7 linked regions of the Callithrix jacchus genome follow. The protein of the gene in region 1 interacts with the protein of each later gene in a pairwise test. Links are inferred from orthologs where the notes say so. Each region holds a gene or a part of one and is shown in the gene's direction. Other genes may lie near its edges. The genes, in order: ATPAF2, RPIA, RAD54B, FSBP, LRRFIP2, PAK5 and LNX1.

Region 1 (4,486 bases):
GAACCAGGATCGAGCAAGACGAAGATATGGGGTGGGGAATCTGGACAGATGCCAGGAAGATTAGAAGACTGCAAGTGGTCCCAGAGCAGGGGCAGGAGGCTGGGAGGTGGAGCAGCTGGAAGGGGCTGGGTGCCTGGAGCATGAAGAGAGGGAAGCAGCGAGTGGAACAGGGGACCCAGGAGGCAAGATCCCAGCAGACTGTGAGCAGCACTCAGGGAGTGAGTGTCTGGTCTTGAGGTGGGGCCAGGGCCTGACCAATCAGTGGTGCGTTTGGTGTTCCCCCGTCTGAGGGGTCTGATGAAGCCCTCCTAAGGAGATCTCAGGAAGAGGAAGCCCCCAGGGTCTGCGGATTCCTGGGACTGAGGAAGAGGCGGGAGGGCAGGACTCAGTTCTGAATCTGACATGGGCCCAGACACGGGGAGTGTCCAGAGTCTGGTGAAACCAATGGAGAGTTCTTCAGGGTCTGAAAAGGGCTCGTGGCAGTCCCTGATGTAGGGACGGCAGGTCATGAGGAGGGAGGACCCGGGCCTTCCCCGAGTCATGGGGGCTTCCGGATCCCGGACCGGCCGGTCACCGGCTTCAAGTCTGGGAGAGTGTTCGGGGTCCGCCAGAAGCGGGTCTTGACGGGCTCTGGATCTGAGGGGGCAGGTCAGGGCTGGGGCTCGGAGAGTGTGAGGCACAGGCTGGGCAGGTCCCGGGTGGGAAGCGCCGGGTGCAGGAGGCCCCGGCGACGAGGGCCTGCTCCGCGGCTGCCGGCTCGAGGAGCCGAGACGGGCACGGCCCGTGAGCGCCGCGAGGAGGCCCTCGGGCCCCGGCCCGGCCCGGCGCTCACCTGCAGCACCACCTCTACGTCGTACGAGTTCCCCTTGCTCTTCTGGTGGCCGCGGAACTTGGAGCCGCTGTAGAGCAGGCTGGTGGCCACGCCGGGCTGCTGGGTGTTGATGGGCGGCGGCGGGATGAGTGAGGCCGCGGAGGCAGCCGAGGCACCGGCTGGCGGGGGACACTCGGTGCGGACCGGCATCGCGGGGTCCCCCGGAGCCAGGGCTGGGGGGAGTGGGAGAGGAACCGCCGCCGCCGCGCGGGAGCCAAGGAGGGTGGCTGGGAGGGAGAGGCCGAGGCGCGCACGCGCAGGGTGGGGGCGGGAGGGGCGACCACCCGTCCGCTGTATGCAAACTAAGCGCTTCGGCCGCCACCGCGACCCAGGGACCTGAGAGCAGGGCCTCCCAGTCCTGAGCTGGGTCCCCCTCCCGACTTGCCCTCGCGCACACATACACACACACAGACACACACACACACACACAGACACACACACACACGCACGCGCGCGCACGCACAAACACACACCCCGCCCCTTCCGATTGGCTCGGGCGAGCCGGTGAGGGCGGGAACAGGTTTACACGGCGCTTCCACCCATTGGCGGGAGGAGAAAGCACGTGGTGGGGTGCGCGAGCGGCCCGCTGGGACTTGTGGTCTTCTCGCTGAGGCGCGGCGTGGAGGGGGCGGAGCGAGGCGCGTTTGTGATGCTAATTGACTGGGGGTGTGCGCAGGAGGCGTGCGGCGGCGACGGCACGCCGTTGGTGTCATGTGGAAGATGGCGGCATCCAGGGGAGGCTGCGGGCTCTGAGGGGGCGGTGAGAGGTTTCCGTACAGCCCGATCGTGCGGCTTTGGAGGTCCCTTCGCTCCGTTTCCTGCTCTAGGTTTCACGCTGCGCATCCTCCCAGACTATCGGGCGCGATGTGGAGGAGCTGTCACCGGCTGCGGGACGGGGGACGCCGCCTCCTGAATCGGCCTGCGGGTGGCCCCAGCGCTTCTAAGAGTCCGGGGCTAACCATCCTGTCTCCAGCCCGGGCTTACGCCCCGCCGACAGGTGAGGCCATGAAGGGCCGAGCTGGGGGTAAGGTGGAATTCGGACTTCTGCTGTGCAGGGCGGTGTGACTGAGGCAGGGTTCAGGCTCATGAGGTTATGCAGGCCAGTCGGGTCCTTTTACAGACGAGAAAGAGAAGCCCAAACAAAGGCAGACGACCCGAGGGGGAACAGCGCGTCCTGCACGAGACATTAATTGATATTTGGCCTGGGCAGCTTTTCTCAAAGCTTATGGCTGCCCTCTCTTTAATGAGGAAAGCAAGTGTCATCTTTGTTTTCCAAAGGGGAGGTTTGGGCCCTGAATCAGAACTTCGCCTAGGTTACAGAGCAGACTCGGGTTTCTGGAGTCTGACTGCTTTCTATGTCTCCACTGCCCAACATAAGACCTGCACAGAAGGGCCAAGTTCAATCAGTCCTCCATCCCGGGCACTTTAGCTGCAGGTTTCCTGACTTTCCATCCTGTGCAACCCCTGCCATCTGCAGCCTTCTCTCTCTCCTAAATAGAAATTGACACCTCCATCTCTGATTTTGGAATCACCTCCACCTCCAACTCTGATGAAGCTTAGAAGTTGTGGCTCTTTTGTTGCTGATAGTGAGTGGTGTTAGGGTGAGAGGGCAAATGACTCATTTCAGTGAAGGAAGAGCAGTAACACCCTCCCGCCACCATTCAATTACTTTTATTGTGCTGGGGGCAGGAGGCGCAGTAGTCTTTAAGACCCACCTGTATGTATTGGTAGAGAAGCTCAATTAAAGAAGAAAAGGCCCACCTGAATGATGTTGACTGTTCAGTGAAAAAGGTTATAATATCCTGATTAAACTATGGTTTATAATATCCTGATAAGGGACATACAAAGAAGCTGTGAGGACACGGAGAATCACCTACTCCCATCTTAGGGATGTTCAGAGTCTAGAACAAGTCTTGGGTGAAAGGCCATTTAAACTGAACAGTGATAGATGAGTAGGAGTTCAGCAAGGAGGTGGAAGACTGTTGGGTATCTAGAACATGTCCAGGGGTGACAGCAAGGTGTGAGGGACTTTTCCCTAACACTGCCTGCTTTAGAAAATCCAGAATTTCACAAGCAGTTTTGGCCTTGTGGCAGAAGTGGAAATCTAGGATCTGATGCTGGCTGAACCTCTGAGGTCTGTGTGATCTTGGGCATGTAACTACTTCCTCATTTTTCTCTGTGAGTTGAAGTACGATGTTGCCTTTGAGGGTCTTTCTGGCTGTCAGATTCTATAACTTTATAGAAATGGGGAAGGTGGCTGGATGCAGAAGGGTGCTGAAGTTTCTCCTGTAGGACTTGGGGGAAGGGCCAATAAAGAAGAAGAAAGGACATCCCAGGGAGTCCATAGCAAAGGGGACACATTCAGGAGTTCACCAAGTTGGAAAAAGCAAAGGGTTAATTAATTACTTTATGTATATATTTATTTATTTTGAGATGAAATTTTGCTCTTGTCTCCCCTGCTGGAGTGCAGTGGTGCAATCTCAGCCCACTGCAACCTCTGCCTCCCCAGTTCAAGCAATTCTCCTGCCTCAGCCTCTGGAGTAGTTGGGATTACAGACATCCGCTACCACGCCCAGCTAATTTTGTATTTTTAGTAGAGACGGGGTTTCACCATGTTGGCCAGACTGGTCATAAACTCCTGACCCAGGTGATCCTCCCACCTTGGCCTCCCAAAGTGCTGGGATTACAGGCGTGGGTGGGTTACCACGTTTGACCACAAAGGGTTAATTTAGATTCGTGGATGCTGTCTTTATATAATGATGGCACTTGATCCTACTGTTTTGTTTTCCTTTCCACTGCAAACTTACTAGTTTAGGCTCTTGGAAGTACCTGGCACATGATAGGTAGTCAAATGTGAAAGAAAATAGGAGTGAATGAATGAATGAAGAGGAAGGTGCATAAATCAGGTCCGTGTGTGCTCTACAAAGACCTTACCAGTTGTGAGATATTTATGTGTGTTTGTAGTAGAAGATTAAACCCAAGTAGGTTCTTCTCAATAAACACTTCAGTTAGCAAGCTGATTGAACTTGGCTGCTTAGGAATGGCCATGCCATTGAAGATCATCAGAAGGAGAAGAAGAGTTTAGGAAAGGGTCACTGAGGTGTTGGAGAAGGAGATACTACAACAAGAAGACCTATGTGAGTGGTTGTGGCAGTTCAGTTCTGCACCAGCTTGTCAGAGGTCTATTGACTTCCCAGACTGGGAGGTGTTCTGGAGAAACCTATCTAATCAGCATATCTGAGTGAATGCAACTGCCTAATGAAGTCAAGGCTAGAAGTCTTGTCTCTGCTATTTACTAGTTGTCATCTAGAGAAGACGTTAGGTTCTCTCTCACCTCCGAGGCATTAGCTAACTGCCTTGTCGTCCTCATAGGATAGTGGTGTGGATTGAGGAAGATTGTGTGGTCTGTAGATCAGGGTCCAGCCTGCCACCTGTTTTTGTAAACGAAGTTTTATTGGAACACAGCCACATACATTCGTTTACATATCATCTATGGCTGCTTTCACTACAGTGGAGAGTTGAATAGTTGGAACAGATATTGTATGACCTGCAAAGCTTAGAATATTTACTGTCTGATTCTTTACAGAAAAGGTTTGCTAAATGTGTAACATTTCG
Region 2 (4,011 bases), on another chromosome or scaffold:
CCTATGTTAAAAATTTTAAGTCGTTTTGGTAGGTGCTTCATAAATGTTAGCTGCTGCTTTGGTGTTCTGTTGGTTTTGCCTTGTACTGACAGGAGATAGATGTCAGGAAGTTGCTTAGGCACTGAGCTCTATGTTAGTTCCTGTTAGTACCCCTGGCCTTGTTTTTTGCTCTTTGTGGTCTAGTAGATTCAGCTGAGCTCCTACTTTGTCCTTGGTCTGTTTGTAGGTACCTTCCCTATTTCTTAAGGTGGTAGGCTCAGTATTGCGATGTCTGTTTCTTATACTTTGTACTGAGGAATTGCGCTGCATCGATTACAGATCCTTCCTATTGCAGATGAAGACTATTTTTCATGTTCTTAACTAAGCCTTTGCTCTCTTCCCATTTTCTCTAAGGCAGGCTCATGCAAAATGAGCACCCTTGGTGTCACCTAGGCAGATGCTGACATGCTTTATTATTTTGAAGTTACTTCAGTCCCTCCCTTTATCTGCTGATTTTGGGAGAGCTCTAGATGGTGGACCTGATGTGTCTTGTGCTACCAACTTGAAGGTGCCTGTGGAAGGCACTGAAACCAGAAACCTTAGCTTTCCTCTCTTACCCAGGCTCCATGCTCTGTTGTTTTTCTTAGGTGTTTTCTTTCTAATTACCTCCTTGGGGTTGGCCAGGAATCTTTTCTTTTTTTTTTTTCTTTTCAAAACTCACTGTTGCTGGCTTGAAAGATCAGGAATCCTTAAGTGTTTATGTGCAGGCCATTTCTGTGAGGGTTACGTAAGTTGCTATTCAATTGCAAGTAATTGCACCAATTATTTGGTAGAATGTAGGGAGGAAGTGGTGGTGTTGACAGTGTCAGAAATGAAGGGAGGAGGTTCTTGTTGATCATTTGTCCGCCATGCATTGGCTAAAGTACAGCATTGAGGTTCAGTGTTTATGTTCCTGTAAAATAGGCACAGTACCTGTCTTGCATCTGTGTTGCTGAATTGCTATTCAGAATAATTGTATAGCTTTAGGAAGTGGGCTGACAAGGGAATAAAATATGGTATTGATAAGTTTTGTTTTTTCTCCCCCCTTTTTGGCAGAATAATCAAGTGCTGGGAATTGGAAGTGGTTCTACAATTGTCCATGCTGTGCAGCGAATAGGTATGTTCTTGCACTGTTTGCTGGATGTTTTGTGTATGATGATGGGGTAGGGAGGTAGAGGAGAGGGAGGAAGTGGCATTGTCCTTTTGGCTTCAGCTGTGCAGAACTGGAGAGATGGGACTACCTGAGGTCAGTTGAGTGTTTCTGCTCTTTTGTGGAGAGAGGGAAACTTGGGGCTCTTCAGCCAACTCTAAAGGATGCCCTTGCCTTTGTTTACTCCGCTCAGCTGGAGGGGAAGAGCTGACTTGAGGTCCTGATATAATTTTAATCATGTCAATGGCATTCTACTGTCAAGTCCTGTGTGTGGTCTCAGACTTCCTCAGGCAAATAATTGAGGTCACAGTGGTTTTGCCTTGTCTATGACCCTGGAATGGATGCGGGGCTCCTGCACCTGATGCCTAGTCCCTGCAGGTGCTCATTTCACACCAATTAGGGTGTGTCTATGCTTAGGAAAGGCTCAGGAATTATCAGCCCCTATGGCTGCTCAACAGGTTTTACTGCCCTGCTCTTTGTTTGTAAGAACAAAGCCCAGAGGAGAGGCCTGCCTGAATGCTGAATTCTTCTAGGTGCCAAGGGGCAAGGCCCAGGAGGCAAAGTCCAGGAACACTTTGTCATCAAGGAGTGTGGTTTTACTGCTGGTGTGATGGCTTCTAGAAGCCTTATTGGCCAAATGGGAGCATTTGTGTTGTATATCTTTCAATCTTAACCAAGTATCTGGAGAATACTTTCAGGGCACAGGAGTTACTATGAATTTTATAATAGTGGCACCCAAACCTCCCAAGATGCACTCAGTGATTTAAAAGACTTGACATTTTAATAAAAGTTTTTTTCCTGAAATCGTTTTTTTAAAAATCAGACTTTCCTGAAAGTTACAAATCCAAAATGAAAAAATAAGTCTCCTTTAGCTACCCTCTAGGGCCTACAAATAAGTATGTTCTTTACTAAAATGTGAAAATAAAGTTCTAGCATTTTCCTAGAAGAGACAATAAAGGGGAGTTAAGACTGTGTGGCTAGATGGCCTGGGATCATAGTCCAGCTGTGCCATTTATTAATGGTATAACTACCGAGTTACATTACCTCTCTGAGCCTCAGTTGCATTATCTGCCAAATGGGGAGAGTAATTTAACTTAAGTTTTGGGTTGTTAGGATTAAGAGCTCATACATACAAAGTTCTTAGAATATTGCCAGGCACATAACAATAGCAAACACTGACATTGCTTTCTGTGGTCAGTACTTACCTCTCCAGACTTCCGTGTGTCCCTGTCTTCTGATGTGTGAAGTACAGTCACCAGCTTTTCCACCAAGGAGGGGGACACAGAATGAAAGGTGTGCGGTGTTCGCGCCAAGGGCTTGAGACAGCTAGCGTGACTCGCCCCAATAGAAAGGCAGCTGACAGTGGAAGATAGACCTTCCCTTACCTGTTGGATTTGAGTAAACACATGACAAGAAAAATAAAGTGAGGAGAGTGAAAAACTCTCAATATGTCTTTTGTTTCCACAGCTGAAAGGGTGAAGCAAGAGAATCTGAACCTCGTCTGTATTCCCACTTCCTTCCAGGTATGTCCTGCTTTCCATCTGCATTGTGACAGCTTCTGCTCTATCTTCTGGTTCCTTGAGGTTGTGGACACATGGCCTTGTCTTGTATCTCAAGGTTGTTCTAGGTCAGAGAGTCCAGGAATGGGAGAGTTTATTGACCAAAGATTTCATCTTAGAATTGTAGTTTTAGGTGCATTTGTTTATTTACTCAATGAATATTTCCATGCATGTTGAGTTTAGGCACTACAGAGTAGGCAGAGATGGCCAGGTGGTCTCTATCTTCAAGGAATATTATTCCTATTTATAGGTGAAAAAAATCAGGCTAGGCCAGGTATGGTGGCTCATGCCTGTAAACCCAGTACTTTGGGATGCCAAGATGGGCAGATCACTTGAGCCCAGGAGTTCAAGACCAGCCAGGGCAATATGGTGAAACACTGCCTCTGTGAAAAATAAAAAAATTAGCTGGGTATGGTGGCTTGTACCTGTAGTTCCAGCTATGTGGGATGCTGAGGTGGAAGGATTTCTCTTGAGATCAGGAGGTCGAGGCTGCAGTGAGCTGTGATTGTGCCAGTGTACTCCAGCCTGGATGACAGAGTGAGACCCTGTCTCAAGAAAAAAAAGACAAAACAGGCTAAAAGGAATTAAGCAATGTGTTAGTAATGCAAGCACATCATAAAATAGGAGGAAATGATGGAGGAAAGCAGTGGAGCTAGTTAAATATAGAGAAAGAAAGAGCAGGCTTTGGGAAGTGGAAGGGAAGACAGTTGCTCAGATGGAGCCAACTCTCATCCTACGTCTGGCCATTGCAGGGAGGAGTATGCGTATAATCTCTCATTAGATTAGTCAAGATGATAATACGCCCTGGGGTAGGAGGTGAGATTTATAAGTGACTGGTACTCCTGGGACTTTATGGACTTAGGCTTGGAACCCTCCCAATCCTGGAGGCACAGAATGCTGGCAGCCTGCAACCAGCTCTGGTGAAGGGAGGGAGGTTAAGATTCCTTCTAAAACAGACATGGCATCAGCTTAATGGTAGGGAGTAAGGCAGAGATTCCAGGTAGACAGGTTAGGGAGTCAGGAGAGTGCATACTGTTGGAGCTTCCTTGATGTTAAATCTCTCGGAGACCCTAAACAAGCTGGATGGTCATCCAGGGGACTGAAAGGAATACCTTAAGTGTTTTTTTATTGCTGCTTTTTTTAAAATCCTGCTGTCTTGAGAAGACACTTTTAAGGCCTTGGTGGCTTGTGGTGGATTTTTCGCTTTTGAAAAGCGAAATACTCAAGGTTTCTGACTGACTTGATCATCAAGTATTTTTATTTCCTAATAAATTACATTGGTGT
Region 3 (4,457 bases), on another chromosome or scaffold:
ATGTCCCAGGCCACCTGTAGCCACTCTGTTTTAGATTTTCTGAACTTCCCCGATTACATTAAGGTAGGCTGTAGACACTATGAGAGCTAGCATTTTTTCTGGTTACCCTTACTCTTTATCTGTCCCAGTTCAAAGAAGAGGGAGGTGCAGTTTACTAGGGTGCCCAACCTTGGCAGGCCCCCAATTCAAATTCTTGTAACCCTGGCTCCAGGAGCTGCTAAAAACACAACTCAACGTATGAGGTGCTCTTTATTACTGGAAAAAGTCTCCAGGATAAAAGCTCCATAAGCACATTACTGTTTTTTTTTTTTTTTTAATTGAGACAGGGTCTCGCTCTGCCACACAGGCTGAAGTGCAGTGGCGCCATCTTGGCTCACTGCAACCTCTATCTCCCGGGTTCGAGCTATTCTCCCGCTTTAGCCTCCTGAGTGGCTGGGATTACAGTCGCCCGCCACCACACCCAGCTAATTTTTATATTTTTAGTAGAGAAAGGGTTTCACCATGTTGGCCAAGATGGTCTCGAACTCCTAACCTCAAGTGATCCGCCCACTTAGCCTCCCAAAGTAATGGGATTACAGGCGTGAGCCACCGCGCCCAGCCTTAAATTACACTTTTAAATGGCTATACCTATTTATACTCCTACCAGCAGCCCAAGTTTCCATTGTTTCACATCTTCATTTAACACTTGATATTTTTTAGCTTTTACTTGTCAAACTGTTGGATAAAACTCAATAAACAACCTTTAACCATTCTCTCTCAGATTAGTCTTTCTAACACCATTTTGACTGTGTCATCTCCTCGCACTTGGAAGTTGACTGTGTCATCTCCTAGCACTTGAAGTTGCTCAGTAAATACTAATTGAATGATGTCACTTTCCTACGTAACTTTAATGCTTTTCTAAATCCGGAGGCTGCTCCCCTTTTCTGAGGGCCTAGTAATCACGTATTCATTTCTATATTTCCAGAACCTAACAAAGAGTTTGAAAAATATCCTGCAGGCAACAGTAAATCAATGCTTTTTCGGATACATGAATAACCAGTAGGATAACCTGTACCTCTGCGATGCACGCATTTCTATTATCGCACACACCGAATCATACCTTATTTATTACTTGTCCACGCAGATGGTGAGGTCTGTAGCCTCAGCCTGTACACCGTGTCTGACAATAGGCACTAAACCAGTATTTTTTAACTGAACCGTAGACTAAAATCAAACTTGGGAGCAAGCAAAGGGAAACGCAAAGGTACATGCGCAGTGTTGCAGTAAGGTTGTCCAATCGGAGTAAGGCTGGACGCGGCGACGCAGCTGCTAGTAGTGCGCACGCGCAGTGGGCTCGTCCGCGATTGGCTGCGCCGAGGCGGGAGCCTTGAGCTTCTCCGGCGGCGAGGGGTTCGCTGGTTGCCAGAAGTTTATGTTTTGCAGGGTCAGTGGTTTCTGTCAGATTTTCGCCGGTGCGTTCTGGACAGGGAAGCTTGGGAGGCTGTGACGGCCTGTAGGCTCGTGCGGGACAAAGCAGCGAGTGGTGCGGGAGCAGGCCTCTAAGAGAGGAGGTAGGGAAGGCGGCAGGAGCGACCGAGGTGGCCTGCAGGCCTGCCGCTTTGGTCTGGTGCGAGGGACGCCCGGGCTGCTGGTCCCGGGGAGTCCCGGAGCGACTGGCGGACTGTGGGAGTTTGGGGGTGTGCCTTTGTGTGCGAGGGGTGGTTCTGGGTAGAGGCCCCTGGGGTTGCCCCTGCAGTCGTTTCGCTCAGGCTCCTGTGGCGTTTGGGGCTCCTGTGGCGTTTTGGTTTCTCTCTCACTCCTGCACTGGGAAGCTCCTTCCCAGGGCCAGGGGGTGAATGCTCCGCGAGCGCCCTGGAGATTGTCCGTACGCCTTCTTTAGGGACTTTTTATTTCTTCACTGGTCAGGTTTTTCTTTTATTTTATTAAAACCTTTTAATCAATTACCTTATGAAAGATTTTCTAGGTAGGTACAGATGCTTCTCGAATTACTACGGGGTGACCTCCCGATAAACCCATCCTAAGTTGAAAATATCCTAAGTCGAAAATGTATTTAAAACTGCTAGCCTACCTTTGTTATAAAAAAAAAATAATTTCAACTTTTTATTTTAGATTTGGGGGTACATGTGCAGGTTTGTTGCATCGGTGTATTACCTGATACTGAGGTTTGGGTACGATTGATCCTGTCACCCAGGTACTGAGCGTAATACCCGATAGTTTTTGAACCCTTTCTCCTCATTTCCTCCCCTCTCTGGTTGTCTCCACTGTCTCTTGTTGCCATCTTTTATGTTCATGAATTTAGCTCTCATTTATAAGTGAGAACATGCAATATTTGATTTTCTCTTCCTCCTTTAATTCGCTTAGGATAATAGCTTCTAGCTGCACCCACATTCCTTTTTATGGCTGCGCTAGCCTAGCTTAAACATGCTCAGAACACTTACCTGAATCTACAGTTGGGCAAAATCATGAACACAGACGGTTGTGTGGTTCCTTGTGCAGCTTTTACTGAATGCTTATGGCTTTCTTAAAAGTCGAAGAATTCTAAGTGAAACCATCCTAAATTGGGAACCACCTGTATAGCCTGAGTCTCAAAGTCAAAGGAGCAACTTAAGGCATGACGTGAAATAATGGCTACCTAATGTAGTTGGAGGTCGAAAAGCAGAAACAGCAGAGTCTGTTGCTGGTTCTTGTCCTTGAACAAGAAACAAGAGAGAGTGATCTCTACTACTCATTTCTCAAACGACGCAAAGGCTGGTTATGTATAAAATATTTACATGTTTCATCATTTTAACATTGATGAAATTGGGAAATGTCTAACCATCAGTGATAGTGTATCATGATTTAATTGGCTACACCTTTTTTCTTGGATAGGTAAAATAATGGTACATCTTACAATAAAAAATTCATTTTTAACATTTTTATTTAAAAAATGTCTTTTATATGGACTGACAATCAAGAGTATATCCTACAGTTGATGGCATTTTAGATCTGATGAAATATGGTAATTAAAAAGATCGAATTAATGACACTTTCCCTGTTACAAAGGTAACATTTTCATTGTAAAAAATTTGAGATATACAGAAAATAACTCAGAAGACATTAAAAATTACTGGTTATTCTAACCAGACTTAGAAATAATTAGGGTTAATGTTGTGGCATGTATTTTTCTGGATTTTAAAAATGATTGTGTATTTTAATATATAACATATCTACTTTATAGCAGTGTAATTTACAGTGTGCTACTAGATATGTACATTTTGATGTTTTGATATACAGCTGTATATACACTCCCTTATCCACACTGCAATCTTATATAGATTATTCTATCACCTCAAACAAGTTTCCTCATGCTCCTTTGCATTCTAGTCTTTTAAATGTACATAAACACGTTATCCTTTTTCTTTTCCTTTTTAAAAGTTGGAATGAGGCCAAACATGTTTTGTGGCCATTTTTCCTTTATCAAAAATATTTCTTATGTCATTAAACATTTTTAAAAATTGTGGTCCTCCCTATTAATGGGATCATTCACGTAACAAATACTGAACTCCTTCTGTGTATTTGGTACTGGCAATATAGTGATGAATTGTACATGAGATTTCATGCCTGAGTTAATAACTCAGGGAGAATGATAGGGCAAATTTCATTGCAGTGTGAAAAGTACTTAAGTAGTACATATACAGGAAGGTCCTCCAGTCCAGTCTTTGGAAAGAGATGAAGAGGGCTCATGGTTAAGACCCCTAAAGGACTGTAGTATTAATCAGGCAAAGAAAAGTGGGAAAAAGCATTCCCAACTTAGTATAAGGGAAAGTTTATTCAAAGCCTAGAGAAAAACAGAACCTGGCTAGCATGGGGAACAGTACTGACTCAGTTTTGGTGGTATATGAAGAGAATGTGTTCAGTTGTGTGGCTGTACCAAAATTTATCTAATACTTCATTATGGACATACTTGTTTCCTTTTCTCCCCCCCACTGTAAGTAATACTAGCATGATTATTTTTATTTATTTATTTTTCTGAGACAGTCTCGCTCTGTTGCCCAGGCTGGAATGTGATAGCACAATCTCTGCTCACTGCAACCTCTGCCTCCTGGGTTCAAGTGATTCTCATGCTTCAGCCTCCCAAGTAGCTGCAATTACAGGTGTGTACTGCCACACCTGGCTTTTTTTTTTTTTTTTTTAGACAGAGTTTCGCTCTTGTTACCCAGGGTATAGTGCAGGATGGCGCGATCTCAGCTCACCACAACTCTACCTCCTGGGTTCAAGCGATTATCCTTCCTTAGCCTCCCGAGTAGCTGGGATCACAGGCATGTGCCACCACACCCAGCTAATTTTTTATTTTTAGAAGAGATGGGGTTTCTCTGTGTTGATCAGGCTGGTCTCAAACTCCCGACCTCAGTTGATCCGCCCGCCTCGGCCTTCCATAGTGCTGGGATTACAGGCATGAGCCACCGCTCAAGGCCTTA
Region 4 (4,758 bases), on another chromosome or scaffold:
TGAGTACCTGTGGTCCAGTTGTTGGGGCAGGTCAATTTTCTTTTTGCATCTCTATGGACAAGAATCATTTGCATTGCTGATTTCTACAATTTACAGAGCTGTAAAACTGCTCAAAGACAATGAAAGGAAAGAACTATTATAGAATCAAATTACTCAGTGGGGTATACCAGACAACACCTAGCGTTCCACAGGACATCCAGCAGTCTTTCACTGGTTTTCTGAAAGATGATACATTTAAAGCTTCTAACACAGTATCTGGCTCAAGGTGAGAGCTCAATTTAATTTGCTTCTCCATTGTTAAAAGAATGAAAAACAAGATAATTGAGAATTTATAGCATTTCTGTAGAACTACAGTTCCCTGGATAGGTGCTGTATCTAGATTGACTTGATTTCTTACACAGTGCCTGGGAGCATTTTTATACGTGGTCAGTAATTAAAAAATTTATTTCCCCACCTTTTAATACTATCACAGTTGTTCAGTAATAGTTTGATTGGATAGAACTATGTTCAAATATGTTCTGATTTATTCCCCTATCTGGAAAAAACATATATATTGTGAGAAAAATAGGCTTGTCTTACTTACATTATTATGTATCATGTATTTTCATACTGGGGTTAACAAAGATATTCTAAGCACTGAAACTGGTGGCCTTGAAAATGACGAGACTAGCTGTTTCCTTTCATAGTCCAAACTGTGTGAATATAGCTAAATAAAAAATCTGGCTCTGTTATAATAGCAAATTCGATTTCGTGTGTGGAGTCTTAAGGCGTGATTATACTGTTTCTCACCATGAATAGTGATTTTTTACACATGATAAGGCAGGCTAGCATATTCACATACATTACAGCTAGAATAATCCATTGCTTTAAAAATATGATTTTTACCTGCTTTTTAGATTGGGTGTTCTGGAAAAATTTCTTCTTAACTGAAAAAAATATGCAGAGGCTAATGTAGACTGTAAAATGAAGGAGAAGCTTAGCTTTACTGTGGAGTCTGGGTCTGGGTGTAACCTAACTAGCTAGTGGATATGCAATTCCTGATTGACAGCAGGTCCAGCATTATGCAGATTTTGTAAGGGAGAACACTCAGCTCAGAAACAGTGATGAGAGGCTCTGTTAGGAATTACTACATTCACTACTCATATCTTTTGGTTTTCTGTCTACTGGATTTGTAAATAAATAGCACAAAACTGTTCCTCTTTTGTTTTTATTAAAGTGATACTGCAATGCAGTTCAGTCTGTCAGCTAGGCATACATGTGTGAAATTTGATATTCTCACTAAATTAGCTAATTTTTAGCTGTGTTCCATGCTTATCTCTAGACCTTTGTGTATTAAATCCTGTCTCGAGCTGTTCCCTTTATACACAAGTGTGTTTTGCTTGTGCCTTCCTGTCTTCTTCAGTGAGAAGCTTTATGTAGGTCAGGCTTGGCTTAAGCAGATTTCCTGAACCTGCGTCAGCTTAAGCTGGAGGAATTTTAATAAACCCTCCCCTGTAGGCGTGGGCCTAAATGAGGCTAGCCTAGTTAAGCCTGATCTTTTTCTGTTTGTGAAAAGAGCTGAGCAGAGCTGAAGGCTGCATGGTGGTTTCGGAAACTGCCTACTTAATTTGAAAAGAACAATGGTAGGAAAGGCTAGATCTTCCAATTTTACCTTATCTGAAAAGCTTGATTTGCTAAAGCTTGTGAAGCCATATGTGAAAATTCTCGAAGAACACACTAATAAACATTCAGTAATAGTGGAAAAGAATAGATGTTGGGATATCATAGCAGTTAACTATAATGCAATTGGAGTAGATCGCCCTCCTCGAACAGCACAAGGCCTACGCACCCTTTACAAAAGGCTCAAAGAATATGCCAAACAGGAGCTATTGCAGCAAAAAGAGACCCAATCAGATTTTAAAAGCAATATTTCTGAGCCAACCAAGAAAGTTATGGAGATGATTCCCCAGATTTCCAGTTTTTGCCTGGTAAGAGACAGGAACCACATACAAAGGTAAGCTTTATTTTATTTTGTTATGGAAAATTATGGCGCCTCCTATCCATTGGGCTTTGGCTTAGTTGTGACAGAGATATGCATAGTAAGCATCCCCACAACGGGAGCAATGAATAGTGTCTTTGTTTTGCATTTTTTAAAAAGAGAAAAGTGAGGCTATAAGGAATTTTTCTGTTGCATTTAAGCTACTTTTTAACTGTCTTCCCCTCCCTCATCCCCCCTGTAGTTTCTAAAAGTAAAGGTTAGGGAGGAGTAAGTGGGATGAAATTTGTGACATCACTTCATAAACTTTTTAAGCTTTAAAATTAAATTATTTAATTTGCTTCTGAGAGATACTTTTTTTTAAATTTAAGATTACATTTCACTGGAATTTTTAATTTTATATAATATTTATATAAGGTTAGCAGTTTCTAGAGAAATGGAACCTTTGCTTTTTTATGAATTGTCATTGTCTACACTTATTGAATATGCATTAACTAACAAATAGAACTAAAATCAATAAGTAAACTTGTTAATGGCATGATTGTATATATAAAGACAGTTTAAATTATTTTTCTAACACATTTAAAATAAAGATGAACGCAACTAAAGGGAGTTAATGCCTAATTAGGTATTCAGTTTACTTAATAAAATTTAAAGTTTTTGTTCTTTTTATTCCTTAATGGTCTAGTTTCACTTTGATCTTGGGTCATATAGGAAAGAGTAAGCTTTCTCTTACTGTTTTGCAAGGATATCAAATTATGAATTTTAAAATACTCCTAAGAGCAACTGGGTTTTTTTAGAGTTAGAAGCAATTTTTTGGTTAAACTTGTGTTCTATGTAACTATTTGCCTTGGAATTTTCAAAACTATTATCTTGCCACTAATTTGGATTGTAACCTCTGGCAAAATATAAAAATGGCAGCTACATTCTTATTCTGAACCATTCAGGATAATTTAAACAAATTGTAAACTCCTTGTTAGTTTGAGGGGGCTTTCAAACAAAGCTTTACACAATGTGCTTTTCTGTTGGTGGGAGAGGCATTATATAAGCAAATTATTGATTATTGTGAAATTCCTTTGAAATTAGGAGAGAAACAGAAAAAAACACTTTGTAGCCAAGTGTATATATTATTTTGGTAATTTACTAGGAAAGTATTTTTGAGCCAAGCTTCTTACCAGATAATAAGCAGTAGCTTATTTCTACTTGATAGCACAGTAAAAAATATCACCAGTGGGAATCCAGGACATGAATACACAGTGGATTAATTCTTGGGGCCACTGCTTAAAATGTTCACTGTGATGACAAATGATGAAATCCCAATAGCTGGATATCCAGAAAGCTACACAGTAAAATTGTTTTATGCTGTGCTGCTTATGTTTATTTTCTCTCCCTTGAACCATAGAGAAAAGTGTTTTTTGCACTGCAGGTATAAAACTGTACCTTTTGGCTAGTAGGTATAAATTTTTATAATTTGAAAATACATGGAGAAACTAATTTTAATTAGTTGCATATTTAAAAAATACAGTGAGTATAGAAGAGAATTACAGTGAGTATATAAATATACAAGTATTTGGTTACATTTTGACCATTTTTGTGTGTATGTATACAATATTCACACACACACACACACACACACACAAACAAAATATTTTGGAACATCAATATTTCTGTGATAAAAATGAGTTGATTTGTGTATTTCTATACCTATGGCTTAAATAATACCAATTTCTTAGATTTTAAAGGGAAGAATGTAAGAAACATGCCTCTTAAATTCTTATGTTAGTGTGTCTGCATTGACATTTTCTCCATATTAGCTTATTTCTTTAATGTGCTTATATTTTTTTGACATGGTCCTTGAATCTTAATCTCAGAAGTTTAAAATTATTCTATAATCTTGACTATACTTCTATATAAATATGCCTGTTAATCTTACCAAACTCTCCCTTTTTAATAAGGAAAATACTAGTGTTTGCATTGACATACTTAAAAACATATACCTGTTTTGTAAGGCTATTTATTTCTGTAAGTCACATTGCCTTATGTCTTTATTTTTACCTTTCCCTAATATCAGTTTATATTTTGTGTTTTTGTAAACTGATCTTCAAAGTTCTGATTCTCAAGTTCTTCTCTGTCATTTCTGTGACCTGCTCTAAAGTTTTCTTTCCTCCTTTTTTACATTGTTATGCCTTAGTTGTAATGTGTTAGCTGAAATGGAATGTTCCAGATATAAGGCATGTTTTTAATTTACTTGAGAGTATAATGTCTATGTTTATAGTCTATTGTACATGCTAATTTGAAATAGTAATTAGGTGGTTTTAAAAACTTCCTTTTCATATGCAGTTTTAACCTTTTCCCATTGTAGGTTTTAGCAGAGCTATTAATAATAGAAGCAGATTTTGCTACTTTGAATTACATTTATAATTAATTGTTTTGCTTTTGGAAATCATAAAATAACACAAATAGGGACAAGAACAAAAATGAATTTATGTAATCTACCGATAGATTTTTCATTATATACTATATATGTGTTTCATTTTGTCTCTTAGATAAATATCTGATATTTCTGGCAATTTAATGCCATTAGTAAGTGACATATGGGTAGTTTTAATCTTTCTCCATGCATTCTACTTGAACTTGTTCCAGCATTTTAATTATTCGTATATAAAATATTCTTTTAATTATGTTTCTTATCATTTGTAAAATCTCCATATAATATTAAATAAATATTTCCATTGATGTTCAATAATCTCATTTCCCTCTACCTTTTATGTTTAGTTAGGCAG
Region 5 (3,401 bases), on another chromosome or scaffold:
GTTGCAAGTTATACTGTAGTATCGTATGTGCTAGAGCATCTTGTAATATATACCGTCCAGAACATGGGCTGCTGAAGATGCTGTGGTTGTTGTGTGTGCATTTGTATTTTCTAATCATAATACTGTATGGTCCTCTCGGTGCTGCAAAGGCACTTTCTGATGGCTCATACTGTCCATCTCTGACAGGTGAAGATAATTCATTGTTATCTTCTGTTCTAGGAGATGCCAACAGACAAATTAACGAATACAAATTTAAGCTTTCAAAAGCAGAACAAGATATAACCACCTTGGAGCAAAGTGTAAGTACTTGTATACAGTACCAGGTGATGGAAATGTCCTTCCTGCATCTAAGTGGCTGACAGCCCAGGAGTGCCTGGGTTGCCTCGGGATGCTTTGCAGTTGGATCCATTAAAGTTCTGTATTCAAATAGAAAAGCCAGCAGAGAGCACTTGGTGGGGCATTTTAGCCTTCTGTTTTCTCTTAGAACATAGGAAACTATAGCTATCACTGGTTTTTGTAGCTATTTCAAGAGAATTCAAGATCATCATTTGCAACAAAATCCCTTAGTATACATTCCAGAAAGTCTAAGAACTTTTCCATTTAGTGAGTCTCTTTGGGACTTAAATACTATGGTCATCATAAAACTTAGCATGGGAAATTGGCCCTAAAATGACTCTACAGCTGTAATCCTCTCTGGGGACATTTCTTGATTTATAAATAGCAATGAGTTCTGAGAGGACCTATGACTCTCCCTTAGGGGACTTGTTAGTGTTAGATTACTTGGCATTTATAACATTGTATTTCCATCTTGGCTACCAAAAAGCGGTGACTTCTAGTGCCCAGTGCTAGAGGCCTGTGTTCTTACACTTACAGATTAGCCGGCTTGAGGGACAGGTTATGAGATACAAAACTGCTGCTGAGAATGCTGAGAAGGTTGAAGATGAACTGAAAGCAGAAAAAAGGAAGCTACAACGAGAGGTACTTCACAGGCTTCTTGGAAAATACATTCCTAAAAATATCTTTTGGAAATAAATTTCTTAGCTGTGTAAGAAATGTGATGCTTAAGGAAACAGCAGTTGAGTTACTTACTAATTTGTGTTGGTTTCTGACCTGCATACTGACTGCCGTCTCCTTTTATGTTTTGGTCAGTTAGATAGTAAGTAAAAAGACAGTTTTTGTTTTTGCTTCAGATCAGGATTATTTCTCCAATTTCATCCTTTCTGTGATTAAAGCGAATAAAGAATCCTCAGTATCATCATTTAATACCTCTACCTGACAGAAAAAATGAGGCTGTGGGTCCTGCACAAGGCCATCCCAATAGCAGTGCTTTCATTTTCCAGAAGTTGAAAATAAAGTAGCACTGGACGTTGTTTCTGACCACATGTAGTGACTGCACTCTCCCTGTCTCCAGTTACGAACAGCACTGGACAAGATTGAGGAGATGGAGATGACCAACAGCCACCTGGCCAAGCGGCTGGAGAAGATGAAGGCCAATAGGACCGCACTTCTGGCCCAGCAGTAGGAAGACCACCCTTTGACCTGGGTGCTGCTCCCTGGGCCCCTACCTAGAGGGACTGACTTTTGTCCATTGACACAAACCCCTTTTAGTACTGTTTTGAGTTTTGTCGTTAAAACAGCCACCTTTGTATTTTATAATTTATGAGCGAATGAAGCCAGTTTGAATCTTCGTGAATGAACACTTCGGATGTTGTTGTAGTTTGATTCTAGACTAAGAACCAGTCCATGCTGTTTTTATTTTTTATCTCCATAATTGTAGAATCATGTTTACTTAACATCTTCCCCCAGCTGCCTCAGTAACTGGGCACTCGGAGGCCTTGGCACGGGTTTTGGAGGACAGACAGCATTTCTGTGAGTGCTCACTGAGATAATACTTGCTGGAGACCTCAGAAAACACAAGTGCCTTCTCCACGGTGCAATTCAGACTACAGTGATCTCCAGTGGTCAAAAGACATATACCCTTAATATCAGACAACATTTATATTTTGGTGAAGAAACAAGTTCTTGGGTGAGAAATCTGTGTTTCACTCAAATTTATATGTCTGGAGGAAAAAAGCCTTTTTTTGTAAAATATTTAAATTTATATAAGAAAATGTTAGGAAAAAATATGGGGAGTGTATATAAAACTTGCGTTATTGCATGGGGCAGGGGAAGTCCAGGCCTAACACTCTTAAAGTAAGAGTCAGGTCCTTTATTCTTCAATACAACTGTGCTGTACCTGGTAAAGTATTTTATCTGCTGCTTATGTGTGGAATGAAACCTCAAACAAACCCAAAGGGGGAGGGGAGGGCAGTGCGGGCAGGTCAGAAATCTGCCTTAAGATTCTATTAAATATACCCTTCTGCCAACCACAGTTGGCTACTGACATGTTCGTTTTGTTACAGGAGAGTTCAAAACAAATCATGGCAACCACATCTGTCTTCTTTTGTCTCCTTCTCAAGGAAAAATAATCTGGAATGTAGAACTTTAAAGACTTTAGTTTCATCTTTAGAGGTGCCCTGTCCAAGAGGGTTTTTTAAGCCATGGAGTGCAACTGTTTTGCAGGATTTATGATTCTCTTTTGCTCTCAGTACCCAGGTGGTTTCATTGAAATTATTAATTTATCTTTAAAAAGTGTTTACACAGAAAACATATTGGGGAAAATCTAGTAACTAAAGGCACATGAGATAATAAAACTAGACTTTCAAAAGGTAACTCAAAAGTGAATGAAATTTCTAATATTTGTTCCTTCTTTAGCCCTTCATTTAAAAAATACAGATACCAATTTCCGGAATTCAGATGATTTTCGTATACATTTTTTCTTTTGAGACAGAGTCTTACTCAGTCACCCAGGCTGGAGTACAGTGGCACAATCTTGGCTCACTGCAGCCTCCACCTACCGGGTTCAAGCGATTCTCCTGCCTCAGCCTCCTGAGTAGCTGGGACTACAGGTGTGCACCACCAAGCCCACTAATTGTCGTACTTCCAGTAGAGACAGGGTTTTGCCATGTTGTCCAGGCTGGTCAAACTCCTGACAGCAAGGGATTTGCCTCCCAAAGTGCTAGGATACAGGTGTGAGCCACCGTGCCCTGGCCTATACCTTTTCTAATAGTAGCAACATTGTGTGGTTGGGGGGTGGGTGGAAAGGTGTTCTAAAGTGCAGGTTTATTCTAGAACTCCATCCCCGCTAGAAGCAACATACTGTGTGACCCAGCTCTTAAAGCTCAGAAAACCCCTCTTCCTCTCTACTCAAGGTCACTCAGCCTGTGCCACACCTGGGCTCATGGAACCTCACTTCTGAGGTGCCCTGGTCTACTTTGTGGAGTTCTTATTGTTCAAAACTGACCTCGCCTATTTTGCGGCACAATAAATATGACTAACTCATACTTATGCCGGGGGCAGTG
Region 6 (4,011 bases), about 52 Mb from region 1:
CAGTGAGTGTTGTTACACATATGTCTTTGGCTTCACATCTGATTATTTTCTTCGATTTCTAGAAGTGGAATGAACACATCAAATGACATGTAATTTTTTTTAGAGAAGTGGTATACACTGTTAATTTCCAGAAAGTTCGTATCAATCTAGACTCTCACCAACAATACTTTTCACCTTCAGAAGCACCATTTATATTGTCATGTTATCTCTGTTCATCCGCTAGACATGAATAAACCTTACAGTTTTCATTAGCACTTTTATTACTAGTGTGGTTAAATTGAATTTTATGTAAGTTTAGGCCATTTTTATTTCTCCACCGAATCGTGTGTTCGGTGTACAGTTTTCAGCTGGGGTGCTAGCATTTGTTTTACAGATGCGTTAAGAGCTATTGATATGTTAAGGAATCAACCCTTCTCGGTCTATTGGTTGTACTTTAACATTTACCTTCCACTTTCTTTTTTTTTTTTTTTTTTTTTTTTGAGACGGAGTTTTGCTCCTGTTACCCAGGCTGGAGTGCAATGGCGCGATCTCGGCTCACCGCAACCTCCGCCTCCTGGGTTCAGTCAATTCTCCTGCCTCAGCCTCCTTAGTAGCTGGGATTACAGGCATGTGCCACCATGCCCAGCTAATTTTTTGTACTTTTAGTAGAGACGGGGTTTCACCATGTTGCCCAGATGGTCTTGATCTCTTGACCTCGTGATCCACCCGCCTCGGCCTCCCAAAGTGCTGGGATTACAGGTGTGAGCCACCCCCGGCCACTACCTTCCACTTTCTCATTTACCTTTTAAACTTATCATTTAAGAAATCTAAAATAGGAAGGGAAACATGAGAAATTATGTTAGAAAACACATCAAGTATTTTGCAGTAATATTCTTTAAGTAATTTTATAAGAGCATTGTGGGGAAAGATATATGTTTGTGGATGAGAGCTCTAAGCCCTAAAGATATCAAGTCAGGATATCAGTGTTAGATGTCAGTCTCCAGGACAGGGTGCGCAATCCACCTTCTGACTCCCAGAACAATCTACAGCTGCTTGACCTCTTTGTCTTTCTATTGTAAGCACTCCTATTCTTTGAGAAGTAGGCAGAAGGTATTTAATCCATAAACAGGCACTGTGCGAATGCACTCAGCTGCAATTCTGAACTCTGTTTTTCACGGAGGCTCATGTGAAGCCCCCAGTGGCCTCCACACATCTCCAGCTCCCATGGGTGCTTATTTCTCACACATGCTCCAAATCTCACAGAGTTCCAGGTGAGTGGGCTTCAGCATCTTCCCAGTCCACTATTCCTGACTTCTGGAATTTATTTTTCAAACCACAATGCCAGAACACACAGAGCAATATGAGGTGGATAAACAATTCTGTAATTTATTATTAACACTAACTCTGAAAACTCCAGTGAAAACAGCCACAGGGCAGCAATTTCTGGAAGCTCTCTCCAGCAAGCAGGCTCCTTAGCCTTTTTTATGTGTATGCCATATTTATCTTCAATATATATTCTTTGAATTCAGCCCAAATATCTCTCAGGTTCAACCCATACCTTCTTCTAAGGAGAATTTAAGTTGGTCTTGTGTGGCTCCAGTTTTAACAATAGCTTACTTCATTCACTTATGAGACTCATTCCCTCACTTACTATGAGTTGGTGACCCTTTGCTAGGATAACCAGCAGAAGATTGCGAACAGCACATTCTAAAGGAGACCCTTAGGGATATCTGATCATATCCTTGCTGACAGACAACGAAACTCCCTCTTCTGAATGCAGATCTTGCTTTTGTTCTGCCTGCTTTCATTACTCTCTCTGTCTCTCCAATGTCTGGGGGACCTGTCATTTTCTCTCAAATTTGCTACCTTAATTCCTTTTATTTCTACTAGCTACCCTTGATGCTTTTTGTCTGTCATATATTTCTGAATAAAATTCCCCACAATCAGCACCTCTCAATCAATTTACTTACAGTTGTAGGTGTGTCCACAAGAGAACAAAAAGCAACTTCATCTTCACAAGTCAAAAGTATCTTTCCCATTCATCCAGGTCGTGATCATGCGGGATTACCACCATGACAATGTGGTTGACATGTACAACAGCTACCTTGTTGGTGATGAGCTCTGGGTGGTCATGGAGTTTCTAGAAGGTGGTGCCTTGACAGACATCGTGACTCACACCAGGTAAGCTTCTTTATTATCCAGATAATTCTTATCATTATTCTCCAGGATTATTCCAGATAATGCTTCTTATTCTTCTCCAGGATAAAGCTTCAGGGACTATGAACTCTTTCTAAATTGTGGGCACTTTGGAGTCAGGGAATATGACTACCCTTTACCCCACATTCCCCAGAAGGCCCATTATGCTATCAGGCATGTACAGTTCATTCATTTGGTTAATGTTCTCCTGTCCTCACAAGGGCATTAATACCCATTGATTTAAAATAAGCAACCTGCTAAGAATGAAGCTTTGGTGGCAAATAATAGATTTTCCCATCACCTACATAGATTTCTAAAGCCTAATTTCATTCTCCCAAGTTACCCTACTGCTGCTGCGTGCTAAGATCACCAAGGATACCGGGCAAAGGAAGGAGCAGGGAGAGTATCAGTCGAAGTTTTGTATCAGAATAATGAATCTACATGGCATAGAGAAATTCTTCAAGTCTGTTTTAAAATATTCTTGCAAGTAACAGTGGTTAATTACCAGCCTATTGCTTCTGCTATTTGCCTCCCTGATGTGCCAGGTCTAACCATTTTGTTAAATATTTATTGAGCACCTTTTATGTGCCAGGCTCTTTTGCAAGTGCTGGAGATGCAGAAGATAAAAATGAACATGGCTCGGATACATCCCCTCAGGGACATCGCTAATGAGAAATACATGATAATATCAGTGCAAAATTAGGAAGATATATATGTGCAGCATAGAAGAATATCTTACTGTCTCTATTAGAGTCAAGAAAGATTTCTGTTTAATATAAGGTGACATCTGAGATGGATTTCAAGAGATGAATAGGAGTTTACTAAGAAGGCAAGTGGGAGGAAAAGGACATTGAAGGCAGAGAAGAGAATATGTGCTAGGACAGTGCCTCTTCAATTCCAGTGTCCACATACATCATTGTGGATCTTATCAAAATGCATATCCTGACTCACTAGAGAGGGGTTAAGATTCCATTTATAGCAAACTCCCAGGCAATGCCAATGCTGCTGGTTCATGAACCATACTTAGAGAAGCAAGGTTCTGTGGAATAGACATATAAAATAGCATGTTACATTTGGGAAACTTTAACCTTGGTCTTCATCATAAATAAAATGCCAAAAAGTTAAAGTAAGAGTTGTCATGATGAAGGGGTATTGAGTGTTAGCTGGTGTTATTGAAATGGCACCTGAATCAAAAGTGGATCCAGGTATATAATATGTGGAAAGCAAGGTAACAGGAAAGCACGGGAAAACTCCATGAGGGATAGAACATGCTGCTTTTTCTCCACTAAAATGAGATTTCTTGTGGCTCTACAGTTCTCAGTCTGGAGTAGACCATCTCACAATAAAGGGTCGTGAGTGAAGACACTGAACATTTATCACCAGCAATTCAGCTGGAAAACTCTTGCTGGTGTAGCAATAAGACATGCCCAACAAAAAAACCACATAAGATCATCTTAATTGTTAGAAACAAATATACTGGAAAGATATAAGAATAAGGCAAATGTGATATACAGTTTTTGCTTTTCTCATAAAAAGCAAAAAATAAAAATGTGTTCAGGGGAGAAGCTTTTTTCTTAACCTTCCAGAGCTTCACATAGCTCAGGTCTCCAGCTCTACCTTTGTCAAGATTCCTTTCCATTCTTATTTTGTATCCATGGAAACCACTTAAGAGAGTGTGTCCCTAAAACCCATTGTATTTTCTAATTTTCTCCATCCAGAGTTGTCAACCAATTTCCCTTTTAAAGACCCAGCAACTCCAGAGGCAAAAAGGTATTGTGTGTCAATTTCTGCGTTTTTGGTATTGGAAATCTTAAACTTATAGTTCAGACAGTTTTC
Region 7 (4,644 bases), on another chromosome or scaffold:
TGGGTAACTGCCATGACACAAAAGAGCTAACTGCTAGCTCTCTTTCAAAGGAAAGGTTAGGAGTAGAGCCAAATTGAAAGTAAAGATTAGGGGTAGAGTAAATATGAGTGAGAAGTGTGACCTTAGGACCAAAAATACATGTGCTGGCTTCATCTCACCAGGCAGAAGTTTCCAGGCTGGTCATTTTGCCTCCTTCATTCCCTGGATTATTGATTAAAAGAAACTTGCAGCAGTTTGACTCTGAAAGTCAAAAGGACAAAGTAGCAATCAGGCCATGACCGAAATGCACACAGAGGCCAAGGGACTTGCAGAGCACTTCCTTGTTTGTAAATCAGAGTCACAGTGGAGAGCTGAAGGCACTGCAGCCAGTAGCACCACCTGTGATTACGGGGCCACAAGTACCTGAACTCTCTGTGTCCTTCTTGCATGATGCATATACATAAGGTAACACCAAGGACTCGACTCACATCTCTGGAAGGAGACTACTTAACTCACTAATTATTTATGTTTCTATTTAGAATCTGATACCCAGAGCTAATCACTTATTTAAGCAAAATCTTTGGTCCTTACTGGAGCTGTCAGCCCACATTAGTGCTTAGGTCAACTGGTGGGAAAAGCAAAGCTCAGAAAAGCCCACTTCTGGAATCACAATGTTTACATTTTTAATTAGCTGGGTCACTCTGCAGGAATGACTTAGTCTCTCTAATCCTCAGTTTCTTTATCTGTATAATGGGAGTGATAATGATAGGATTCTGTTGAGAATTAAATGAAATAATGCAGGTCGGGTGATTACTATAGAATCTGGTAGACAGTAAGCACTTAATAAATGTTAGCAAAGATGTTGCAGCCGCTGACGATGGTGATGATGGTGATGATGCTGAAGAATGAGCAGAAGAAATACTTATTTAAACAATAATTCTATATCTTTGGAGTTAAAAGTCTTAAATAGTATCAGCCACAAACATGCCCATTCCTTTTTTTTTGTCTACAAACATTAGGCAATGTTCAGTTATGAGCAATACTGCCTATGGAAAATCTTTGAAAGTTTTGGCAAGGTATTAGAACAAGTCAGAACTACTTATTTGCCTGATACTGATTTTGGTGCATGCCCCTTTACTTATTGAAAAATAAAAGATGCCCAGGATTCTAGGGCCTGTCCAGTCAGCAGCCCCTGCCTATTAAGGAGTTGGTCCCAGCATGATAATGTTCCAGACCTACTGATGGCCTGAAGGTGTGGTGACCCTGTGTTTATTTCCTTGTTGATTTCCCTTCTCTGGCTCCAAGATCATTTTCCCATTGCCCGCAGGAAACAACATCTAGGGGAGAGGTAGGCCTGACTTGGCAACCCTAAAGGTGAACAAAAGGATCTTGACTTTTGGCAAGAGCAGAAGGAAGTTCAGGGGTGTCTCAGCCCCATCCAAACCAGACAGATTTGTCACTGATGGTAATGCATGCTGCTCTGCGGGAGACTGCTCTTCCTTGAATCTCCCCATAGCTGCTGTCAGATTTATGGATCTCTTCTACCCAAAGCCTTGCAGAAGGGGCAGGAGATGCCCTGGTTAACCCCTGCATGGAAAAAGGCGGAGCAGTTTTTATACACAGCTGGGGCACAGAACACTGGAAAGAGAAAGAAAAGTTTTCTGAGCTACTGCTAAGCCAGAAAAGCTCAGCTCTCAAAAGAACTATCTCCTGAGACCTCACACAGCTGGGAGACCTCATACAGCAAAGGTAAGATAGCCTTGTCCCTCCACCAGCTAGAATCTCATGCAGTTTTTTAAAACAACTCCACCTCTGCCCACTCGGCCTCCAACTCTCCCCTCTCTCTGTCTCTCTCTCTCTCTTTCTCTCTCTCTCTCTCTCTCTCTCTCTCTCTCTCTCTCTCTCTCTCTCTCACACACACACACACACACACACACACACACACGCATCAAATTGAAGAGAGTCTAAAAGATGGAAAATATCCAGGGGTGTCTTTTTCAAAACACTAGAAAGACCTCAGGACATTTGCTCTCTTTATACCTATTTTCCTGCAGTGGTCTTCATTAAAAGCTTCTTTACTTTCACAGATGAAAATGACTTGCCAGACAGGTCAGTGAAACCGTGAGGAATCCCACTAGCAGTAACTGGATTTACATGACATTATTCTTCATCAGTATTTAAAACACATCACACACAGACTTCATTTCACTCCGCAGTAGGAGTAGGTATTGCACTGCAGTTTTACCTACAGATAAAGAGGTTCAGAGAGCTGTGACCTGCCCACGGGTGTGTCGGGCTGGGGTGCCCGGCAGCACACCCTGTGCCCACTCCCGCCTCTCTTCTATAGAATGGCGACCTTACTCTTTAAACAAAATTCCAGACTACATTCTTGGCCATGTATTCTGACAAATGGTCTGATGAGAGGATGGAATTTTAGAAATTGAACTCTTCTGGAAAATCCAGAAATAGATAACCACAGTATCCTGTACAATATACCACTTTGTCATGTATCCCTGTTTACTTCCATTCCTGGGCATTGAATTCAGTTCAACAAATGTCGACAAACTATGTTCCCTGCTCCAACACTGACTGGGTCATATGTCAGGGTGCGATGCAAGCCCTGTGCCCAAGGAGAACTGAGGCAGCAGTTCAGACCAGGATGGGGAGCTCCCCTAAAGAGGTGAGCTTCAAACGAGCTCAGCATAAAGTGTGGACTTGGATTGAGGGAGAGTGTTTAGAAACACAAGTCCCTGGGAGGAATCTGTTGAGTGACCATTTACTTACACCTAGTCCATGGTGGCAGAGCTGAGGGGTGAGGAGCACAGTCTGAGGAATTAGACCGTCTGGCCTTGACTCTTGGTTCTACCTCTCACTAGCTCTACATCTTGGCGTACCTCGGTTAACCCCTCTAACCTCACCTTGCCAATATGTGAAATGGGAATGATGGTAATATGTCCCTCATAGGGTTGTCTTCAGCTGTAAATGAGATTATGCATGTGAAGTCTTTGCTGATGCATAATAAGTGCACAGTAAATATTAATACTAACTATCGTGATGGCCATGTGCCTGGTTCCAAGGGAGATGCAGGGAATACAGATAAGAGGAGGCCTACCCTCCATGTAACCAAAACCTCATGAGTTAGTTGTGTGCAACTAGTGCCATGTGGTGTGATGCATGCTCTGAGACTATGGGGGTGGAATCTTCTAAGTCTATGTGAGTTCCAGTTGGGGTTCTAGGGGACAGCGAAGGGGGCAGAGGTTTCACAGCAGAGGGCCTATGTGTAGGGCCTTAGTAAAGAATGGTGAAAAGAGCTAGACAGGTCTAATTCTGATTCCCAGCTTCCTCCTCTATTTATGTATCTATTTATTTCTATATTAATCCATATGTATTGAAAACCATAAATTCACACTTCCAACACCACAGAGTTTTCTCCCTTTCTGAATTTGTAACTGCCGTCATTAACATTGATCAGAGGCTGGCTCCCATTATCCTTAATATATTATTTGTTTATTTGTTCGGTCCCCCAAATATCACCAACTGCCATCATGACCAGTGTCCCCTGCCCCATTCAGATGCCCTCCGCACCCTGCTTAGGCCCTGATGCTTTGTTCTGGGCCTCCCTGAGCTGGCTCCTGGAATTCTGGAGCTACGATATGTCCTCCACACCCCGCACAGGTGCCTACTTTGCTCAGCCACGTGTAATATTTTTAAAGACTGTGACCTGCGCTGTGCATGTGTGTATGTACCTGTGTTGTCACTGTCTTTGATGGGGAACAGAGCTTTCTCCTTCGTATAGGCAGGGCACATGTCCTCAGCATCAGGCCTAAAGAAGTCAGGCTTATGCCATTCATTCTATTCCACTTGGTCTGCTCATCTATATGGATGTGAGCTGCTCACTATCTGCTCAGGGTAGTAACAACATTTCCAGGGTAAAAACCACTACTGGGGCAGTTAATTCTCCTTTTTCTTCTCTGCCAAGTCCTTGTCAAGGTTCTCCATTATTCATTTTACTCAACAACAGATACAAAGCGCTTACGAGGTATGAGGTGCTTGGCTAGGGTGGGACATAGAGATTTAAATCTTGATTGCTACCCTCAAGGAACTCCCAGTCCACTGTGGGAAGCAAATAAGCAATAAATTTCAATTCCATGTGGACAAGTGCAATGAGAGCCTACACAACCTGCCAGGGGAGGGCACCTAGCCCAGACTGGGTGGGCACAGAAGAGATGCCAAAAGGGAATCCTAAATGGGCAGAGATTAACAAGGTAAAGACTGGCTAGAAGCGGGGGTAAAGGGAGTGGTGTGCATGAAAGGTGAAAGAGTGTAATGGGTGGAAAATTTCAGGAGCTACCTCAGGATGGCTGGTACAGTACCAGAGGCAAGAGGAGGAGCGTCCAGGCAGGCGCAGGCTGTGAAGGTGAGCTGGTGGTGTTGGATTTTAGACTTTAGGACAAGAGCTCTGGAGCCAGACTTCCCAAGCTCAAATCCTGGTTCTGTGACCTAGGATTTGTGGATCTATAGCTGTTGAATCTTTGGCAAGTTACTATTCTCTGCCTCAGTTTCCTTCACTGTAAAACTAGAGATTGTAATAGTAGTCACCTCGTGGGATTGACATAATTAAATTATTCTTTTACATAGTGTATGCAAAAATGCATAGCATAAGAA

Evidence for each region.
Region 2: the proteins of ATPAF2 (region 1) and RPIA interact in binary tests that used the Homo sapiens proteins (3 or more experiments, as listed by UniProt). The two-hybrid records come from large-scale screens. The link is inferred for Callithrix jacchus from reciprocal best matches to the Homo sapiens genes ATPAF2 and RPIA.
Region 3: the proteins of ATPAF2 (region 1) and RAD54B interact in a two-hybrid assay, tested with the Homo sapiens proteins (2 studies listed by BioGRID). The two-hybrid records come from large-scale screens. The link is inferred for Callithrix jacchus from reciprocal best matches to the Homo sapiens genes ATPAF2 and RAD54B.
Region 4: the proteins of ATPAF2 (region 1) and FSBP interact in binary tests that used the Homo sapiens proteins (3 or more experiments, as listed by UniProt). The two-hybrid records come from large-scale screens. The link is inferred for Callithrix jacchus from reciprocal best matches to the Homo sapiens genes ATPAF2 and FSBP.
Region 5: the proteins of ATPAF2 (region 1) and LRRFIP2 interact in binary tests that used the Homo sapiens proteins (3 or more experiments, as listed by UniProt). The two-hybrid records come from large-scale screens. The link is inferred for Callithrix jacchus from reciprocal best matches to the Homo sapiens genes ATPAF2 and LRRFIP2.
Region 6: the proteins of ATPAF2 (region 1) and PAK5 interact in binary tests that used the Homo sapiens proteins (3 or more experiments, as listed by UniProt). The two-hybrid records come from large-scale screens. The link is inferred for Callithrix jacchus from reciprocal best matches to the Homo sapiens genes ATPAF2 and PAK5.
Region 7: the proteins of ATPAF2 (region 1) and LNX1 interact in binary tests that used the Homo sapiens proteins (3 or more experiments, as listed by UniProt). The two-hybrid records come from large-scale screens. The link is inferred for Callithrix jacchus from reciprocal best matches to the Homo sapiens genes ATPAF2 and LNX1.

What each region holds. Positions count from the first base shown.
Region 1 is NC_133506.1:69,116,645-69,121,130, forward strand, and holds the start of ATPAF2 (ATP synthase mitochondrial F1 complex assembly factor 2), read left to right. Parts: upstream 1-1,579; 5' UTR 1,580-1,735; coding exon 1,736-1,868; intron 1,869-4,486. Other genes in the region: GID4 (glucose-induced degradation protein 4 homolog), read right to left, coding at 833-1,270. UniProt on the Homo sapiens protein: Plays a role in the assembly of the F1 component of the mitochondrial ATP synthase (ATPase).
Region 2 is NC_133515.1:25,424,475-25,428,485, reverse strand, and holds part of RPIA (ribose-5-phosphate isomerase), read left to right. Parts: intron 1-1,074; coding exon 1,075-1,135; intron 1,136-2,635; coding exon 2,636-2,691; intron 2,692-4,011. UniProt on the Homo sapiens protein: Catalyzes the reversible conversion of ribose-5-phosphate to ribulose 5-phosphate and participates in the first step of the non-oxidative branch of the pentose phosphate pathway.
Region 3 is NC_133517.1:32,724,976-32,729,432, forward strand, and holds the start of RAD54B (DNA repair and recombination protein RAD54B), read left to right. Parts: upstream 1-1,335; 5' UTR 1,336-1,451; exon of another isoform or gene 1,452-1,550; intron 1,551-4,457. UniProt on the Homo sapiens protein: Involved in DNA repair and mitotic recombination. May play an active role in recombination processes in concert with other members of the RAD52 epistasis group.
Region 4 is NC_133517.1:32,762,433-32,767,190, forward strand, and holds the start of FSBP (fibrinogen silencer-binding protein), read left to right. Parts: upstream 1-1,543; 5' UTR 1,544-1,619; coding exon 1,620-1,993; intron 1,994-4,758. UniProt on the Homo sapiens protein: Transcriptional repressor that down-regulates the expression of the fibrinogen gamma chain. Represses transcription of GSK3B gene promoter via its interaction with APBA1.
Region 5 is NC_133518.1:74,952,111-74,955,511, reverse strand, and holds the end of LRRFIP2 (leucine-rich repeat flightless-interacting protein 2), read left to right. Parts: intron 1-219; coding exon 220-299; intron 300-873; coding exon 874-978; intron 979-1,411; coding exon 1,412-1,522; 3' UTR 1,523-2,712; downstream 2,713-3,401. UniProt on the Homo sapiens protein: May function as activator of the canonical Wnt signaling pathway, in association with DVL3, upstream of CTNNB1/beta-catenin.
Region 6 is NC_133506.1:16,737,748-16,741,758, reverse strand, and holds part of PAK5 (serine/threonine-protein kinase PAK 5), read left to right. Parts: intron 1-2,026; coding exon 2,027-2,160; intron 2,161-4,011.
Region 7 is NC_133504.1:143,048,340-143,052,983, forward strand, and holds the start of LNX1 (E3 ubiquitin-protein ligase LNX), read left to right. Parts: upstream 1-1,424; 5' UTR 1,425-1,728; intron 1,729-4,644.